3 linked regions of the Struthio camelus genome follow. The protein of the gene in region 1 interacts with the protein of each later gene in a biochemical or structural test. Links are inferred from orthologs where the notes say so. Each region holds a gene or a part of one and is shown in the gene's direction. Other genes may lie near its edges.

The links.
Region 2: the proteins of PARD3 (region 1) and JAM2 form a complex in vitro, tested with the Homo sapiens proteins (2 studies listed by BioGRID and IntAct, with this or other methods). The link is inferred for Struthio camelus from reciprocal best matches to the Homo sapiens genes PARD3 and JAM2.
Region 3: the proteins of PARD3 (region 1) and JAM3 form a complex in vitro, tested with the Homo sapiens proteins (2 studies listed by BioGRID and IntAct, with this or other methods). The link is inferred for Struthio camelus from reciprocal best matches to the Homo sapiens genes PARD3 and JAM3.

What each region holds. Positions count from the first base shown.
Region 1 is NC_090943.1:15,894,509-15,898,253, forward strand, and holds the start of PARD3 (partitioning defective 3 homolog), read left to right. Parts: upstream 1-871; 5' UTR 872-950; coding exon 951-1,070; intron 1,071-3,745. UniProt on the Homo sapiens protein: Adapter protein involved in asymmetrical cell division and cell polarization processes. Seems to play a central role in the formation of epithelial tight junctions. Targets the phosphatase PTEN to cell junctions.
Region 2 is NC_090942.1:117,216,364-117,220,108, forward strand, and holds the start of JAM2 (junctional adhesion molecule B), read left to right. Parts: upstream 1-1,378; 5' UTR 1,379-1,489; coding exon 1,490-1,556; intron 1,557-2,530; exon of another isoform or gene 2,531-2,734; coding exon of another isoform or gene 2,735-2,762; intron 2,763-3,745. UniProt on the Homo sapiens protein: Junctional adhesion protein that mediates heterotypic cell-cell interactions with its cognate receptor JAM3 to regulate different cellular processes. Plays a role in homing and mobilization of hematopoietic stem and progenitor cells within the bone marrow.
Region 3 is NC_090963.1:5,625,027-5,628,771, reverse strand, and holds the start of JAM3 (junctional adhesion molecule C), read left to right. Parts: upstream 1-1,360; 5' UTR 1,361-1,460; coding exon 1,461-1,506; intron 1,507-3,745. UniProt on the Homo sapiens protein: Junctional adhesion protein that mediates heterotypic cell-cell interactions with its cognate receptor JAM2 to regulate different cellular processes. Plays a role in homing and mobilization of hematopoietic stem and progenitor cells within the bone marrow.

The sequences.
Region 1 (3,745 bases):
GTGCAGACAAACCGGGGGTGAGGGCCAAGGATTTTGCACGGTTCCTTGTGCGAGTTCGGCATCAGGAACCGGCCCATCCACAGCCAAGGGACTGGGCAAAGCAAAGGAAGAGGCCTTGGTGTGACATGCTCCCCCCCACAATGATGGCCTTGGCCCGTGTACCTGCCTACACTGAAGCAGCTACGTGACCCGAGAGTCTTATTTCACTGACCAGCCTTGCGCTGACCACCCACGGGATGGGGGAAACGCTGCCTGGGTCCTGCTCCCGCTGCCTGCCACTGCGGTGCTCCAAGCCCCAACAGCCGCCCCCCTGCTCCCAACAGCACCCGCTGCCCGACCTCCCCAGCAGGCACCAACACCGCCGGCCACAACCTCCCCCAGGCCACCAAACCCCTGTGACCACCCACCGTGGACTCGGGACATCAAACTCCTCCCCATCACCGAACTCCCCTGACCACCAAACCCGCAGACTATTATACTCCCGCTGGCCACCAACTTCCCCCGGGCCACGAACTCCCACCGGCCACCAACTCCCACCGGCCACCAACCTTCCCGGCCCGGGGCCCGCCGCCTGCCCCCGCCCCGTTGCAGTGCTCCGCGCCTCCGGAGCGGGGAGGCCGCTCCGCCGCCCCGCCCGCCGCCGCTGCGCGCCGGGGCAGGCGCCGAGCAGGTGGCCGCAGGCAGCGGGCATCGCCGCGGCATGTGAGCGGCGCGGCCTGCCGCCTGGCCGCGCTCCCGCCGAGGAAGCAGCCACCCGCCGCCCCTGCCCTGCCCTCCCCTCGCCGGGCGCCCAGGCAGGCGCGTCCGCGGCGGCGGCGGCGGCGGCGGCCGGGGGCTGAGCGCCGCGCCCCGCCGGGGGGCGGCCGTGGCGGAGGGCGGAGAGGAGGAGGAGGAGGAGGAGGAAGGCTGCACGGGGCCGGAGGGACCCGGGAGCCCCCCGGCCGCGCAGGATGAAAGTCACCGTGTGCTTCGGGCGGACGCGGGTGGTCGTGCCCTGCGGGGACGGGAACATGAAAGTTTTCAACCTCATCCAGCAAGCGGTGACCCGGTACAAGAAGGCGATCGCCAAGGTGAGGGGCGCGGGAGCGGCGCCCGCGATCAATATGGCGCTTCCCGGAGCGGAGCGGAGCCGAGCGGGGCGGGAGGAGGCGAGGGCAGAGGTCCGCGCTGCCCCGGCTGCGCCGGCGCCGGGGTTGGGGTCGGGGCAGGGGCTGGGGTCGGGGCGGCCGGCGCCGGCCCCCGGGAGGGCGCGTGTGCCCGGCGCCGCCGCGGGGAGCCGCAGGGGCGGGAGGCGCCGCGGGGCGGCGGGCGGCGAGCGCGGCCCCGGCGCGGCTGCCCGCGGCCGCGGGGCCCTGGCGGGCCGCGGGGCCCTTTGTTCGCGGCGGCGGCGGCGGCGGGCCGCGGCTGTGCCCCGCGGCCGCGGGCCGGGCGGGGGCTGCCGCCGAGGGCTGGAAATCCAGCCCCAGGCTTCCCGGCCGCGCCAGGCCCGGGCGGGACGGGACGGGACGGGACGGGGGAGGGCGGCTGCCGCCGGCTTTCGACGAGCGGTGCCGGGAGCCGCCGCAGGGTCGCGGGGCCCCGCGGCGGCGGAGCGGGGCGCGCCCGGCCGCGCAGGCTCCGCGTCGCGCCGAGAGGGGAGCGGAGCGGAGCGGCGGGCAGGCCCGGCCCGGGGCGCCCCGCCGGAGCGGGACCGGGCGCCTGCCCCGGCCCGCGGCAGCGCGGATCCCCGTGGCCGCCCGTGTCGGCCTCGGCCAGCCCCATGTTGAAATGTCTGTGGGTGTGCAGGCTTCCCTTCCCTCGGCGGTTTGGTGGGGCTGCTGCTGCTCTCTCTCTCTCTCTTTTTTTTTTTTTATTACTTTCCAGTTGTTGCTGCAAACTTCTTTCCCATCAACCTGCTTATTAGGACAATATGGAAGTTGTTCAGTGAAGTTTTAATCGGTGTCCCTTCCCCTGTTTTCTCTCCCTAATTCATTCAGAGAGTTGAGTTTTTTTGTGGGTTTTATCTTTTTTTTTTTCTTTCTAACTTTCTTTACACTTTTTAACGTGGAAGATTTGATTTGGCAAATACTGACTTCAAGACTCACTGAGATTGTACCTTATAGCTGAAAGAATATTGTGATTAGTATTGGCTGGCTTGAAAAGACTTGCAATAAAACTTTTACTATTATTTTCCTCTGAAAGAACCTCTGGTTTCTGTGAGGAGAAAGGTAACTAGAATTCCCACCCCCCTCTTTACTTTACTCCTGAATAATGTGATTTTGCAGAAGAAAAAAAGAATTCTCAATATATTTTTATTACTCCTGTTGTAGCACAGTTGTGTACTGGCTGGAGAAAGAGTAAAATGATTTACTAAGATATGGCCATGTGTGCATTTACTTATTTATACAGTGCAGTTAACGTGCATGGCAGCAATCTGCATGCAAGTATGAGACAGTGGCCGGAAGTATCTTTTGGGTTAAGGGCTTCAGTAAATTGTAACAGCTTGGGAGAGTGCTAAATGCTTAGCTGCACCTTCGGATGAAAAGTGTTTGCAGGACTAGTTCTTCAGTGTTACAACACTGATAAAACTAATTATACTATGTCTTGAGTTCCAAAAGTGTGACCCACGAGGGATAACCATGTGGCACTGGATTGCACTCATGTTTCCAGCAGTTAAATTGTGTTAAATGATGGCAGTAATATTGTTAAGAATGGAAGTGATTGCAGTGGTGAACACAAGAGCAACATATTTTAGTCACCGGAAAAATGTTATGTGGTTGCAAGCGGTACGGGTGTGTTCAGCAGCGAGGTGGTCCACCTGTGGAAAGAAACAAAAAATCAAGATGCAACTCTTCTTGTGACATGCTGAAGTATTTACTGCAAAGACTATTTGTAGGGTTGCATTCTGACTTTGACCTTCCCCTAGTCCCCAAAGTTCTTGTTCGTGGGTTTTAAATGACACAGTTGTTTTATTTACTATTATTTATATGGTGGTTGTGCTATATGCCACTGGTATGGACGCGAGGTAGCTGTAATTACTGAGATTGTTTCTATTATATGGAAACGCTGTGGCTGAAAACAGTAGCAGAGTCCACAGGCATTTCTTTGGGTATATTACGCAGTCACTGTCAAACCTTACTTCTAACTTAAATTCACTGGAAGTTTCCCATGGAGATGTGTTGGTAGTCAGGAGCTGAATCCTCAGTGTCTCACAAGTAAATGTATAGTGATGTTTCCTTTGCTCATTGTAGATTAACATGGTAAGTTTATGGTTTTAATGATAGAATTTCATAGCTATTATTATCTTTTTATCATAGTTTGATGGTTTCTTTCTACATTAATGCAGCAACTGAGCAAATCTTCGCTTCAGAAAGAGATGGAGAGGAGACAAAGTAATTCGTATACTGAAAGAGTAAAGGCACACATGCATGTAGGGTCTGGCAGCTGTTATCAAGCTGACATTGAAATCTACTTAACTTCAACTATAATGTTACGGAAAAAAACATATCTGGTGGAAGACTATTCAGAATACTTTAATTAAGTTGATGGTTTTCATACTTGCAAAAAGAGCATTGTTTCTCGCTCTGCAAAAATGAGTGTGTTTACTTTATGTGCTGACAGCAATTCCTTCAGCAGGACTACCTGAAGCATATTGGAAGGACTGACAATTCCCTTCTTAGATTGCTTCTTGCTTTGTCATGATTTTCAGTTTATGATTAGCAATAAGGGAGCTGCATGGAGAGTGCTTCTGATGTACCTACATAAC
Region 2 (3,745 bases), on another chromosome or scaffold:
GGACTCCCTACGACTTTGAAGCCTGTAATTTGAAAGAGCTACCTTGTGATTGCACCCTGCTATTCCTACTTCCCTTTATACCAATTTCTCTTGGCCCCGGGTGCGTTTGACTTTGGTACAAATAGCGATTGCGATCTCCTCCTTTAAGAAGTTTAAGCTTTTTGTAATCAAAGCTAAAGCTTATTCTTGTGCAAAAAAAAAAAAAAAAAAAAATCTCCTCGAGCTTATGTAGATGTCCCATTAAAAAAAAAAATCAGAATGAAGAACGGCATACAATAAAAACTTGGGAGCGTTTCAGGGCGTTTTATTGGTCCCAGGGGCAGACGGACGAGCCGGATGGTGCCAGCAGCTGAAGCCAAGGTTGCCGCTCGCTGCCGCAGCTCCCTTTCTTTCCCTGCCTCACGCTTCAAGGGGGGAGCGGACGGCGAGTTAACCCCAAACTCCGCAGCCGGCGGTAGAGCCGCCGCTGCTCTCGGAGCCGCCCTGGCGAGACAAAGCGTGCGAGGAAACTCATCTCCTGGCTCTGACAAAGTTTGCCGCCGCACAAGTGCCCTGCGGCTCCGCAGAAGCGGCGCGGGCAGAGGACAGAGAGAGGCTCAGCCAGCAGGAGGAGAAGGGGCGCGGGGGCTCCTTCGCACCCCGCCGCCGGCCCGCAGGTGCGGACCCCTCCGCCCTGCCGCCCCGCAGGCTGCCAGCCCCGCTGACCAGGCGACCGTTAACGGCGGCGCCGAGGGCGCGGCGCGGCACGCCGCCAACGGCCCAGGGCGAGCGCGGAGTCGCCGCCGCCGCCGCCGCCGCCCGAGGGGGGCAGGGGCGAGGCGGGGCCGCCGCGGGCCCCCGGGCCGCCCCCACCGGGCCGGGTCCGGCCTCGCCCCGCCGCTCCCGGCGTCTCCCCGCGTTTATTTAGCCGCTGCCGCCTCAGGAAAGCAGCTGTTGCCGGGAAGATGGCGAGCCGCAGCCTCCGCCTGCTCCTTCTCAGTTACTTGGGGGTCCTCTGCTGTAAGTTGCCCGCGTCGCTGCCCCGGGGACTGCACAGACGAATCTTTTGTATATCCGTATGCATGTGCGTGTGTATTTCTGCTCTGTCGGAGTGCTTTGGCCCCTCCGCTCTGTACCGCGCAAGGACGGCAGCTGCGTGGCCCCGGGCCGCGAGGCGGAGACGGTCCCCAGAGGAGGGGGCGGCCGGGCGGCCCGCAGCAGCGAGGCCCGGGGGCGGCCGGGCGGCCCCCTCTCCCGGCCCCGGGCGGTAGGGGGCGCCGCGCTGCCCCGCCGCGAGCCTCCGGGCAGGGCGCGGCGGCGGCGAGATGTTGTCTTCCCTCCATCCTCCCGGGGGCCAAAGGCAACCCGCGCCTCCGGCAGCGGAGTAGAAGCACGCGCTCCCCTCGGGGCGGCCCGCGCTGGCTGTTCCCATGTGTCTTTTGTTTTCCGCACGGATGTAACCTGCTCAAGCGCGGCCTGCTTCAGGGCAAGCTCGTGGCTTTCCGCGGTGATGGGAACTTTGGGGATGCGCCTTGCGTTTCGTCGCGGATTTCACAACGGAAAGAAGCAAGTGACAGGCGCGTGTTTTCTGTTGCCCGCGTTGGACAGTGCAGCTCTAGGACAGACTCATGTTTCTAGTATTTTTATAATCTTGTTGTCTCACTCTTTTTAAAAAAAAAAAGCAAACAAACAGGAGGAAAAAATAAAAAAGGAGATGTTAAAATAAATTGGCACAAGCTGGCCTCTCAGAAAGCACATGAAAATAAGGAGGGGAAAAATACCATGGAGTCACATAGCTGTGAAGAAGCAGTGAATTAACGTACAGTGTTACTGATGGCAGTGGTGTGTTAGGACCGTCACTTGCCAATCATGCTTTCCTGTGCTCCTGTTGTTGTATATTGGATGCTTCTCATGTCTTGCTGGTATTTTAGGAAAGACGCTGTATGTGGAAATGATCCTTTAGCAAGACTGTACTACATAGTTCATTTTAATGAGCAGTGACTAATTGGGACCAGACTGGGAAGGGTTCCTTCTATTTATTGGGGGTGTGGGAAGGTCCTGATGCTGGGTACTTTTACAGTTTAATTTTTATTCCTCCTCACCGAGCAGAAACTTATGTGTGTGGAAACACCTTGGCTGCAGAGAAGGAATGAGTCCTGAGAGGAGAGACTGGAAGTGACATATCTATTCCGTTAGTTCTGTGGTTTGGTTTTTCTCTATTTTTTTCTCTTCACCTCTCTGAGGAAGTGTTGGTTTGTTAGATGGGTGACCAGTGTAGACTTTTTCTGCTTCATAGCAGAAATCAAAAGAAGTGATGTTCTTTTGATCTCTTTGTTTATTTGTTGTTAATTGTGTGGGTACATCTGACTAGATTAAGGCTGCTGTGCTTTTGGTGACAGATTTCACTGTGTTCAGGCTGCTCAGCTATCTGGTCAGGTGTGTCTATTGACAATGCTGACTTCTTTTGACCAGTGTGGAGATGATAGAGGGTGGTCTGGAAGCAACGCAGTGGATCAAAGTGGTTCCTAAATTGTTAGCAGTCTCCCATTTTTTCCTCTTCCTGTCCCTAATCCCAAGAAACACTAGATGGGGACAACTCGATTTACTAGCAAGGTGCTGCTGAAATTGCAGTGTGAAGATAAGGACTGTAGGTGGGTGTGCAGATGCTGATTGTTTACGTGAGTCAGAGAAAATCCACGTAGAGAGGGCGTTGAGGAGTCCGCTGCTGCTCCTGCGATATATTCACAGCAAGAATATGATTAATATTGGCATCCAAGTTGCAGGTATGGGCTGAGGAATCTCTTATACGCGACTGAGGTCCAACAGGCTCTTTGTGGAAGCAGTGGGAATGGGCAAAAACTAATGAGGAACTGGAAGAAGTGGTTGATACCTGAAGAACATGAGCATTAGATTGTGGAGTAAGTGTAGAGAACTGCTGCATATTTTAGCTGGAAAAAATCTTGTAAATTGGTTTTAGTAAGTCAGCATCGTCAAGAGTAGTGAGGAGGTAAACAAGATTTGGATTGCTTTTCAGTGACCACCTGTTAAGTGAGATATTAATGATCCATAGAAATAGTGGGGTTTTGTTTGTTTGTGTGTTTATTGGTGATTTTTTTTCCTTCTGGGTTAAGGCTTCTCTTTCACCTTAAACTTAGAGGGAAGTAAAGAGATTTTGTGAGATCTTCAGTCATCTAGTCACAGTCTGTTTGGGCTTCTTAAACTAATGCTGCCTATGAAGGTTTTAAACAATCCTACAGAGTAAGACTCACAAGCTCTATTTTTAAGACAGTTAGAAAATCCACAGAAAATATTCTTGCTAATAGTAGTAGTAAATACTTGTGGAGAAATTGCACATAATGATGAACTGACTCTTTTGAGAAGCTTCTAGGTGTGATTTCTGCCCCCCCCCCCCCCAACCTTACTTTAGTGTAAATTAGAACTGGAATGATTACATTTAAGCTGGTGATGCTGGAAGCAAATTTGGTCAAATGCCTCTGTGTGAGGACAATGCAGAGTCAATAAATAGTAGTGTTAGGTAAGCCTCATTTGATGGAACTCACTGGGGTAGTTTGATTCAGGGAAAAAAAAAGGCTTTTTTTTTTTCTTTTAGTTTAGTTGGTTTAAACAACTCTTCCGAAGTGCTCAGGAACGTTCTGGCCAAATACAGAGTTCTAGGCCAAATAAGTTCTGTTTTGTCTGTTCCCTCCCACTCCCCCCATCTTGTAAAAGCATGACTCGCATGTGTGACCTAGGTTTGATTGCCTTG
Region 3 (3,745 bases), on another chromosome or scaffold:
TGATCAAGCCATTGCTGGAAGTTAGAGGAGGAACCTGACACCTAAGTGGCATTTTATCGTTGGTTATAGTCAATGTCGTTGTATTTTGCATCTCCTGTCATTTTAGTCCAAATGGACTATGTTCGAATGACTCCTTACTCAACAGGGCCCCAGCCCTAAGATTGGTGGAGTAGGGTTTTCAGCCATATAGTCTTAATTTCTTCCCCTTCATCACTAGTGAAATGTCCCATTTGGCTGTTAGAACTGATGAGAATCTCTGTATTAATTTCACCAGGTGAGGATCAGCCTTGTAAGTCTACTCATTAGCATCCTGAGTTAGACCTGCTACATTATCAAGTAAAATTCATCTTTGCATCCCTTAATTCCTACCAACTCTGCAGAGCTGGTTTAGAGAAGAGAGGAGAGCTTGGCTTTCATTCCAGCTGGTTGATCTTCAGCATGATCTTAATTATCTCTCTGTCACAGAATACTGAGCGTTAGTGATGCATGAACCAAAATTAACCAAGACTGATTTGCTGAATTCAGAGCGAGTGTCCAGGGCTGATATACATGTATATATTTTTCCTTCTCGTGAATCAAAGAAAAAGATTCTAGGGTCCTTTTGAGGACCACACAGCAACTCAGGATGTTCTTTGGGCAAAGTCACTTTTCAGGGCAGAATCGCTCTCATTTAAGCTCTGTCATATCTGTGATCCCAACTCGCTGTTTGCTGATTTCAAAGCAGAGTTCCTTGCTTGCTCTAAACTGGTCAAAAGTTTACAATGAAATGTGAGACAGCTTGCTGATAGGAACTTCTCACGAAGAAATGATTGTTTAGGGGGTCTCATTAAATACAGAGAGGGGAAAAAAACCTCTCCAAAGTGAAACCTTAATTTATTTTGATAATCAAAAGCTCAAATATTGCCTCCAAGCTTATTTGCAGCTCTTGGTGGCTCAAAAACATTTTCCACGGTGTTTTTTCCCCTGTTGAACAGAGACGGGAAAACTCCTCGTTCGCTTCACTCCTCACCAAAAAACAAACCAATCAACCAACAAAAGTCCCAACACGCTCAAAACTCCCCCCCCCCCCCCACACACACTTAAAGCCTTTACAGCTCCTCGTCCTGGGTTGAGTTTTCTTACTGAAGCGGTGCTTAGCAAACGGTTCCCATAGACTGCTTTGAACGAGCACCTCTCCCCGCTGGCGGAGCGGTGGTTTACGCGAAGCGGCTAGAGGGACCCGCACACCCACCGCGCACCGGGTATCGCAGCCGCAGCTCCGGCCGGCGGGGCCGTGCCCCCCTCTCCCCCCCTCCTTCCCGCAGACGGGGGGCAGGCGGCGGCAGGCGCCGGCCCGGGCGCCTCCCCGCCCGGTGTCCGCAGCGACGGCAGCGCGGCATCCCCCGCCCCCGGGCCGCCGCCGCCGCCGCCGCCGCCCGGGCAGTGCGCAGGCTCGGCGGGCCGGCTCCGCACACCCCATCATGGCGCTGCGGCGGCCGGCGCTGCTCCTGCTCCTGCCCCTGCTCGGTGAGTCGCGGCCGGGCCCCGCGGGACGGGAAGGGAAGGGAAACGGCAGCGGCAGCGGGGCTCCCTCCTCCCGCGCCCGCCGGCGCGGATCTGTTGCCGGCGCGGAGCGGCATCCGCCGCGGCTCCGCGACGGGCCGGGGGGATGCGCTGCCCCGGTCCCGGCTCTGCACCGGGGCGGGAGGGGGGAGGCACTGTCCCCATCCCGGCCCCGGCCCCGCACCGGCAAGAGGATGCGCTGCCCCGGTCCCGGTCCCGGCTGCGCACTGGGGTAGGGGAAGGGGGAGATGCACCGTCCCGGTCCCGTACCGGGCCGAGGGGCATGCGCTGCCCCGGTCCCGGTCCCAGGCCCACACCGGGCCAGGGGGGACTGCGCTGCCCCGGTCCCGGTCCCGCATCGGGCCAGGGGGGACTGCGCTGCCCCAATCCTGGTCCAGGTCCCGCATCAGGCCAGGGGAATGATGTGCTGCCCCGGTCCCGGTCCCAGCCCCACACCGGGCTAGGGGGGACTGAGCTGTCCCAGTCCCGGTTCCGGGCCCGCACCAGGCCAGGGGAGGGATGTGCTGCCCCGGTCCCGGTCCTGGCCCCGCACCGGGCCAGGGGAGGGATGCGCTGCCCCGGTCCCGGTCCCAGCCCCACACCAGGCCAGGGGGGACTGCGCTGTCCCAGTCGCGGGTCCCGCACTGGGTTCAGGGCATGTGGAGACAGGCTGCGCAGCACTGTGCCGGAGGATGGGACAGAGGTCCAGGGGCAGCCCTGGCGCCCAGGGGAAGGACTCGCCCACCAGGAGCGTGGCATTATGTGGGGGGGAACCAGAGATGGGAAAAATCAGTGACAAAACCTCAGTTCAGCAAGGAGCAGGTCGAGGGATGAGGGTGCCAGGAATGTGCAGCCTCGGCAGGCAGGCAGGGCGGACACTAGTGCCTATTCAAGCCCAGGCACAGGCGCCTATTGTTCTGGGGGGCCCGCATGAATGTTTGCAGTTTTAATTGCAAAAACATTTGCTAATTCCGCTCAGGAATGAATTTGGGCTCATTTGTTGTCTGGCTATTAATAGTGTGGGGATGAGGAGGGGGACAGCAGCCGGTGGGTTTGCATTGCTCTCCCCCCTCTTGGGCAAACAGCAGAGGGAGAAAAAGGGATGGAGTAGGGTTAGGGTGACACCAGCAACTAATTTGGAAAGTTCGGCTACTAAAATACATGGGGATGTGTGCGCGTCTGTATATTTATATATATATATGCACACATGTATGTAAATAACTGTTTTGGGTTAACTCAAGTTGGAAGTTTATTGAAATATTTCTAACAGGTTATCTAAGGACAAAACAAAACAATTCTCTGACTCCAAATGACTTGCAGAGCCTTTTGGGCTTTCAGTAAAGTGGGATTTGGGCACTATTTACAAAAAAATGAGCTGAAGGATGAGAAAATGACTTGGAAACTTGGATGGAGCACCCTCCTAGGAGAAGGAGATGGTTCCACCGTGTGCTCCACAGTCTGTTTGCTTGTGTTAGTGTGTAGCAGAATGGTTTCAGGAGGAGAAACTGGGAGTGCTCGATTTTGGAGTATCACATAGTCTTCAAGGTGCTAACTCTGGTTTCAGATGCTTGCTCTGAATGAGGAATACAGCAGACTTAACACAGCTCTTCCTTACAGCTGGATTGCAAGGGAGAAAAGTACCCCATTTCCTTTCCCTCTTATGTGAGTGTTGCCTAAATGCACTGTTGAATCTGGCCTAAAAGACAGCAAGACTGGAAAGGAACTACAGATACTTCTGCATTTGTTTAGATAGATGAACGTTCTTGCTAAACACAGCCAAAGGAACTAGTTTCACACCTCTGACCAGAGTACATTTATCTGGTGAGTAAACCAAGGGCTAACAGGATTTGTTCCCCCTTTAAATACAAAGGATTCTAGTCAAATCAAGAGTGCCTCATCCTGCAAAGATTTCTGGCTGTTCTCAAATTTGGGGTCATAAGCCCAGAAGAGTGGCCAGAAGTGGGGCTGAGACTAGAAAAGTTTGGGAGCTGCTCGGCTATGCTTGACTTTATGTACTGGGAGGCATTCCATTAAGAAGAGGCTGTCAGCAGTACGTAAAATCAAGCATGTACTTAAGTCTGCGGGGTTGATGCTGGACAGTCCCAGAGAAGGAATAAGACCATAAAGATGTGTTTGATGCCAACTGACTGTTTTTAAAAAGGCACAACAGGAAGTTTACAAAGCCATCGAGATGCTGTGGCTC